2 linked regions of the Bombyx mori genome follow. The protein of the gene in region 1 purifies or fractionates together with the protein of each later gene. This does not show direct contact. Links are inferred from orthologs where the notes say so. Each region holds a gene or a part of one and is shown on either strand. Other genes may lie near its edges.

Region 1 (4,163 bases):
ATTTATTTAAAATATAATAAATTTTGATGCAAAATCGGCCTATCCATAGTTTCTCACCCATAGATAACACATAGCTTTGTAAACATTATTTTTGCGCGTATTGTTTTTTTGCCTACTCAAATTCAAATTCATGAAAATTCAAACCTAATTGCCTCCATAATAACTACGGTAAGCTTAGGCCACTTTTGCGCTGACGGTCTCAATTTGTATGGAGTTGGAACGTTTGCTCACGTTTTCTACTAGTCATGTTCCAACTTCATACAAATTTGAGTTAACTTTTACGCTATCGAGAACGTTAAAAAACACGCACTGAGCACAGGTCGCACTCAAACAACAAAACAGTAAAATCCATTTCTAGGAGGTCAGTTACAGAAATACACAAAGAATTATGTTTATATAAAAACAAACAATATTAATTAAAGCACTAGATGTGTAGAACAGCAAGCTTTTGCAAATCAACCACAGAAACAAAGTTTTTTTATTTTTTATTGCTTAGATGAGTGGACGAGCTCACAGCCCACCTGGTGTTAAGTGGTTACTGGAGCCCATAGACATCTACAACGTAAATGCGCCACCCACCTTGAGATATTAGTTCTAAGGTCTCAATTATAGTTACAACGGCTGCCCCACCCTTCAAACCGAAACGCATTACTGCTTCACGGCAGAAATAGGCAGGGCGGTGGTACCTACCCGTGCGGACTCACAAGAGGTCCTACCACCAGTAATTACGCAAATTATAATTTTGCGGGTTTCATTTTTATTACACGATGTTATTCCTTCACCGTGGAAATCAATCGTGAACATTTGTTGAGTACGTATTTCATTAGAAAAATTGGTACCCGCCTGCGGGATTCGAACACCGATGCATCGCTCAACACGAATGCACCGGACGTCTTATCCGTTAGGCCACGACGACTTCGACAAGTCATTGTTATAACCAAGCACCCAAGTACTCACTGAAATAAAACTGTCTAATAATAAAACAAGTACTTTATTCACTTTCTTCGAATACACTCACATATTAACACTAACTTACATTAATAGATTTCACTGAGATGAGACAACGACAATCACATCTTCAGTTGAGTAAACGTTTTAATTTAAATAGTTTTCTACTTTCGCCTACTGCATTTGACCTGCAATTCACAAATCAACGATAATATCGTTTTAACAAAAATAACACAACAGTCTTTTTTTTTAAATTTATAAGCCGATTTAGGGACAGACTTCGATATTACGTCAATGTATTTTTAAATACATCGACGTAATATCGTAAATCGAACATTTTACAATGAAGCACAGAGAGACGTTGTAGAATGCATGCGACATTTATAATATTTTTCATAGATATATATGTATGTACATTCACTTAATCAGAAAACGCAAATGTAAATCACCTTTATCGATCATTCAAACTTCTATCATACATTATCAAAGATAACATTCGATTTAGTCTGTCCCTCTTTTAATTCTCATATATACGTGAGCCGCAAGCAAAATATCTACACAAAACAAATCGCATTCACTGTAATTAGCGATTCACGTGCGGTTACGTAGCTTTAAAACGTCAGACGGACCGTGAAATAGATTCATTTTAAACTTTTGAATCAAATTTTAATGTATACTAAAGCTGAAACCGAGGATAGAATTTAATTAAGATTAAGATATTATTGAGAATGTTTTTATTACTTAAATGAATCCTAAAAATAATGTGATGTTATGATTCAATTGTCGTGAGAAGAAGAAGATGACGCAATCATTTTTTTAAAGTCACTATTAGAGAGAGGTCGCTTCTCGGTGCCGTTGGCGTGGCTGTTTGTCGAAGACTCCTTGCTCGTTGAGGCTTGCTGCAAAACTCGAGGAAGGAAGCTTAGCTGCGTCCGCCGCCTTTAACAAAAAATTACAAAAGATTTCATTATAGTTCACCTATGGTTTACTAACAAAATTTTAATTATCTTAATATGAATTCAGCGGTCATGTTGAATTTTTTTTTACTTGAAAAATGTTGTTCGAAATTTAAAATAGAAAGAACATCAAAAATTGATTCTTTTAGGATGTAGTAAATTGTGAAATAACATATTACGAAAGTTGAACATTGGTTCAAGAGGGAATATCAATCCCACAGTGGCGAAACCAGGACGCCATGACGTCACTGCCAGCAAAGTTTGTTAGTGCAAGAGATAAGACTGAATTTTGTTCTCTAGCTTTTTTTCTTTTTTTTATGTTATAATTTGATTTGCTATTGTCATTTCAGTGTTGTTGCTTTCACCTAATGGTTTATTTTCGTGAAACAAATCGAAATCTATTTTCTATTTATGGGATCCGCCTGATAAAGTTTTCATTTTAAAAGAGACCAATCATCACAAAGTACATCAAAATAACGAACAAATTTTCGAAAAAAAACCTAGTTTATCCCAAACAAATTAATAACAACATAGGTGTTTTAATCAAGCACCGGTCATCGTTCTCGTCGAACCCGTCGCTTGCGACCAAGGGCTCGGCGAGTAAATTAACCCTCAGACACACCCACTCAGTTTCTCGCCGGATCTTCTCAGTGGGTCGCGTTTCCGATCCGGTGGTAGATTCTGCGAAGCACGGCTCTTGCTAGGGTTCGTGTTAGCAACGTCATCAGGTTTGAGCCCCGTGAGCTCACCTACTAGTTAAGGCTACGCTGATATAGCCTCTCAAGGCTCTCAGCTTAGGTAGGGAAAAAAAGTCTTCTAGAAATAGATTCATTCTCAGTATCTACGGATTCGTCTCGTGTCGTGTCGCTTTCGCGAAATGGCCATAAGTGACAAGCGTGTGCTCACATGCCGGCGGCGGGCGGGCGGCTGGCGGGGGTCGGGCGGGCGGCGCGGGGCGGGGGCTGGCTGATCGCGACCTCTATTTTCCTGTCCCCCACCGTCGTGCCGTTCGTCGCCGCTATGGCTCTGGCCGCGGAATCTTCGTCCTCGTAATCGACGTACGCCAAACCTTTCGGTTTCCCGTCTCTGGAATAATTGTCATTTCATTAACAAACTGTGTTTTGTAAACTACGACCTCAGAGCGAGCGAGGTCTCTAAACCTCCTGATGTCTTCGGTTTGACCGTTTTAATACCAGGAGCTCGTAGGCTCATGAACTCGCCTCTCAAATAGAGTAGTAAAAAAGTGTCTTACGAATTTCTTTTGTAAATCAACGTTGGTCACCAATAACGAAATATACTTTAGTAAAAATTATCATTCATTTAATGCTTTTATTATGAAATGTGCCCAAAACACGTCATTAGCTGGCCCACTGAGAAGATCCGACGAGAAACTCAGAGGGCTATGTCTGCGGGTTAATTCGCTCGTCGAACCCGTCGCTTGCGACGAAGGGGTTAATTCGCTCGCCGAGCCCTTCGTCGCAAGCGACACAGCCCTCTGAGTTTCTCGTCGAATCTTCTCAGTGGGTCGCGTTTCCGATCCGATGGGAGATTCTGCGAAGCACGGCTCTTGCTGGGGTTAGTGTTAGCAACATCTCCGGTCTGAGTCCCTTGAGCTCACCTACACGCTAGTAAAGTTGAAATAGCTTCTAAAGGCTTATCAGCTTATAGGTAGGTTAAAAAAAAATCGATAAATTCCTTTCGTGACACTAATCGTTTTAGATTCGTGCTAGACAGAGAGAGCACTATGTTAGACGATGACGTGTATACTCACTTGAAAGTGACCACCCGGATGTCTTTCAGTTTGCCGTACTTCTCGAATATTTCGGTCAAACACTCCTTATTGCAGCGCGAGTAAGGCAGGCCCGTCACGAACAACTTGTTCTTCTCCATCGTGGTAGCGTATTTGAAGGTCGCCTTAGATTTATCGGCCGAGTATCGAGACAAGAACATCGGTCTGCCGTCTAAAGGAGTTCGATCGTGCTTCAGAGCCTCCTCCACTGAGTCCTGTCGAATAAAACATTTCGGATTATAGTGCTGCGAAACTAAGGATCGATGCGTTAGTTCATCTCTATCGATTTGTACAAACTGCCGCTTCGATCTTTAAAGCACGTGATCGATTCGCGGCAGAAATAGGGAGAACCACTGTACCTGCTCTCAACACGTACTAACGCATGGCGGGAAGTTTGAAGAGAAATCAAAATGAAGTTTATGAATAATCGATACTTTGAAATCGATGTATTTTTTTTATAACTTTTTCCT
Region 2 (3,331 bases), on another chromosome or scaffold:
ACCTGAATAATCACCACATATGTAAATCAAGAAATTAAACAATTGACCCAACTTCGCTTCTCGCGTCGATCGCCAAAAGATCATTCCTTTAGTATTATTAATTTAGGCCCATCATGTTTCATATTTAATTGAACATAAAATATGTACTGTTTCAAAATTGTTCAAAATTAGAATCATTACCACTCTTAGATGGTACTCGAATTTTGGTAAAATAATGTACTGCTCGTATTTAATAAACTTGTGCAATATAATTAGGTAGGTAATATTATAGTGTGTAGTGGAATAAGGTTCTTTCTAATTTTGTTTGTAGCACTATGCAACATTTTAATTTGGGAACTTTTTTGTTCAGTAAGTAGATAAACAAATAACAATTGAATTATAATTAAACATATATATTATGTAACAACAAACTGGTAAAAACAAGCATACATGTAATTTGACAAACTTACAATAGATGAATAAATGAATGACCTCTGGGTATTCAGAATATGAGTAGTGTGCATAATTTTGAAGTTTCCTAAAACAGACTGAAAGGAATATGTATCCGTTTTTACGGAATTTGTTCTCTTAATTATGTAATTAATGAGGCTTGCTCCTTTTTATTTAATCAATGGAATGTGATTTTTCCAATGAAATAATTACCAATGCTAAAACATTTTTTGTGACACGATTAAAATAAAAAATTCAAGCATCTTTTTCTTGTTTATTTGGCTTTGCCGATTAAAAGAAATGCTATTATGCTTATTCTAAAACGGTTATTTATATGCCAGTTACTAGAGCACAAACACATTAAAAAAATTGTGTTGGTAACAGGCTAACTGAGCTGATTGTGATGAGACCCATTAGCAAATGAGAAATAAGGTTCTTTTAGTACCTATGAATATTTTTGATTCCTGTGAATATATTATACAGGGATTTAATGTATTTGAACCTTCATGTGTATTTTGTGAAAGAGTAAAACATATAACCCTTAATTTGGTAGTTTACAATAGGCATCATAAGTAACTTCCTAAGGATTATGTTCAAAGAAATGAACATATATCCAGGGTGTTGTCTATTCTAACAGGTATTACAGGGCATGCTATCACAAATCCTATTCAGAGAATGGAAAACCCAAGCCAGGGCTAAGATTAATTTTTATGGGTGAAAATATGTATTCTGCTTTGCGAATTAGTAAATCAAGACAAGAGACGAATACAAAATATGATATTTATTTGCCCAAATGAAACACCGATTGATAACAAAACATTTATTAACTAGTTCTAATGTACCATTGGTCCAAGTGGTTCTGCCTTGATGTTTCCGAGGTCTAATCTGCTATCAATTGACTCGTCTATTTGCCCGACTATTGCCACATTGTCTCCTCTGATTATGTGAAGTCCAAGTACTACTTGAGCGACGCCACTTGTGGAGGAAAACACTCTTTCGTGAGATTCGTCTAAAATAATATTTATTGTTTGGTCAAAGCCCTTAAGGGTGCCAATAAAATTACGTCCATCCGAAGTTATTACCGACACTGTTTGATTCACGTAATTTTCGAGTCCAGAAGCCATTCTAATTATTTTATTTATAAATTCAAATTAGTAATAATCAACATCAAACAACTATAAGAAATTTTCAAATTTCAGGGAGCTGCCACAGATTATTATTTGAAATGTGTACCTACACAGATTAGTATAATAGCTACTACAATTACTATTACTACCTACATGATTACTACATAATAAATAATAGTTTAAAAAAATAAAAAACACGCTTTATCTAAAATTCAACTAAAAAAATAGAAAATAAATTTTAATAAATTTAAATTGAATATAGTGTAAAATATATTTTATTGTAAAAAAAGCATGGGGTGCATGGTGTTATTAGTTATAAATATTTTTCTGACAGATATGAGTAGAAGAATTATTATTTCAATAATATCTTAAAAAGCACCCCACTCTTTTTTTTAAATAAAATATATTTTACACTATTTTCAATTTAAATTTATTAAAATTTATTTTAATTTTTTAGTTGAATTTTATATAAAGTGTCTTTTTTAGTTTTTTAAACTATTATGTATTTTAAATTTTCTTTAAAAGCGTATTTTTAAAACTATTAAGTACATTAACATCAATTCCTGCCTTATCGAGTATAGATAAAAATTATATAAATTGACCAAAATCTTATTTTATAAATTGAATAATGGAATAATCTTATCAAATTAGTATTTTTTTATCGGTCCTCGATAAATCTACAAAGTTTGAATGAATTCTGGCCGTTTAAAGTGGGTCAAAATCGCGTCTAAAGGAGTCAGTTGCAAACATACATACAAGTGAAGTTAATATAAAGCGTGTAAATTGGGTAGAAAAGATCTGACGGATCATATATTCACAAATTATTATGATACACCAGCAGCCAGGGAACCGGGGTAAATTACCTAAAATGAAATTTTGGGGCGTAAAAATGAAACTTTTGTGAGTAAAAAGTATATATTGAAGTGAAGCTTCTTTAGAATCGTTGTGATTTCAAATTCGATGAAACGAAATTAAACGAAACGAAAAATAAGTCCATAGAGACACAAACACATAAATATATAGGATTCAGCCGGCGAGAGAATGAGATAGAACACATTATTTGGAAACACAAAGTTCACGTGATTGACCCAGGTATTTTATTGTAGGCATCGTGTGAATTATAAAATAACAAGAAATTATCAATTACTTATATTCTCTGTGGGGGTGATTTTTTTTCCTCAACTGTATATTACAGATATTACTATTATTACCGTTATGTATTACTATGTATTACATTGATAAATTGAATAAATGATGCTTAAATTAAATTTTTAGTTTTTTCTTTTGAAAATTATCATCGGGGCTATAATATGAAAGATACTAAAAAGAAGCGATTTCATATTTTTTTTGTTCTTCGCCATGGGGTAATTACCCAACCAACCAACTTAAAAAAATATATTTTGGGGTAATAATTAAAAAAGTTCCCCGACCGCTGTGATACACTGTGCAACATATTACCGAGTAATGCTTCTCTACAATATTGTGGACAACAAGTCACAAGACACAAGCAATAACTTATTTTTCGCAATACTTACTATTAATAGTATGAATATATGGCAAGTGTCGAGTTACGACATTGATAATTAGGTACTAATGTTTAGATGTTAGTCACCGTTTCAGCAGAGAAACTACATCGCTATTGTATTTATGTATTATTCGTATGTCAGTATTCAGAATTGATGTAGCACGCTTTCACAAAGTAAAATGGTGTCGGGTTATAGGTTTAGTTTTAATATTCCCTATTTTTATTTTTTACCGGTAGTACTAATAGCAGA

What was found. The genes of interacting proteins can lie anywhere in the genome.
Region 2: the proteins of squamous cell carcinoma antigen recognized by T-cells 3 (region 1) and U6 snRNA-associated Sm-like protein LSm8 purify together in Homo sapiens (affinity purification with mass spectrometry; 4 studies listed by BioGRID and IntAct, counting the BioPlex papers as one, with this or other methods). This does not show direct contact. The link is inferred for Bombyx mori from reciprocal best matches to the Homo sapiens genes SART3 and LSM8.

Annotation. Positions count from the first base shown.
Region 1 is NC_085122.1:6,462,144-6,466,306, forward strand, and holds the end of squamous cell carcinoma antigen recognized by T-cells 3, read right to left. Parts: intron 3,909-4,163; coding exon 3,676-3,908; intron 2,991-3,675; coding exon 2,811-2,990; intron 1,888-2,810; coding exon 1,725-1,887; 3' UTR 976-1,724; downstream 1-975. UniProt on the Homo sapiens protein: U6 snRNP-binding protein that functions as a recycling factor of the splicing machinery. Promotes the initial reassembly of U4 and U6 snRNPs following their ejection from the spliceosome during its maturation.
Region 2 is NC_085112.1:10,370,498-10,373,828, reverse strand, and holds U6 snRNA-associated Sm-like protein LSm8, read right to left. Parts: upstream 1,663-3,331; 5' UTR 1,554-1,662; coding exon 1,263-1,553; 3' UTR 1,235-1,262; downstream 1-1,234. UniProt on the Homo sapiens protein: Plays a role in pre-mRNA splicing as component of the U4/U6-U5 tri-snRNP complex that is involved in spliceosome assembly, and as component of the precatalytic spliceosome (spliceosome B complex).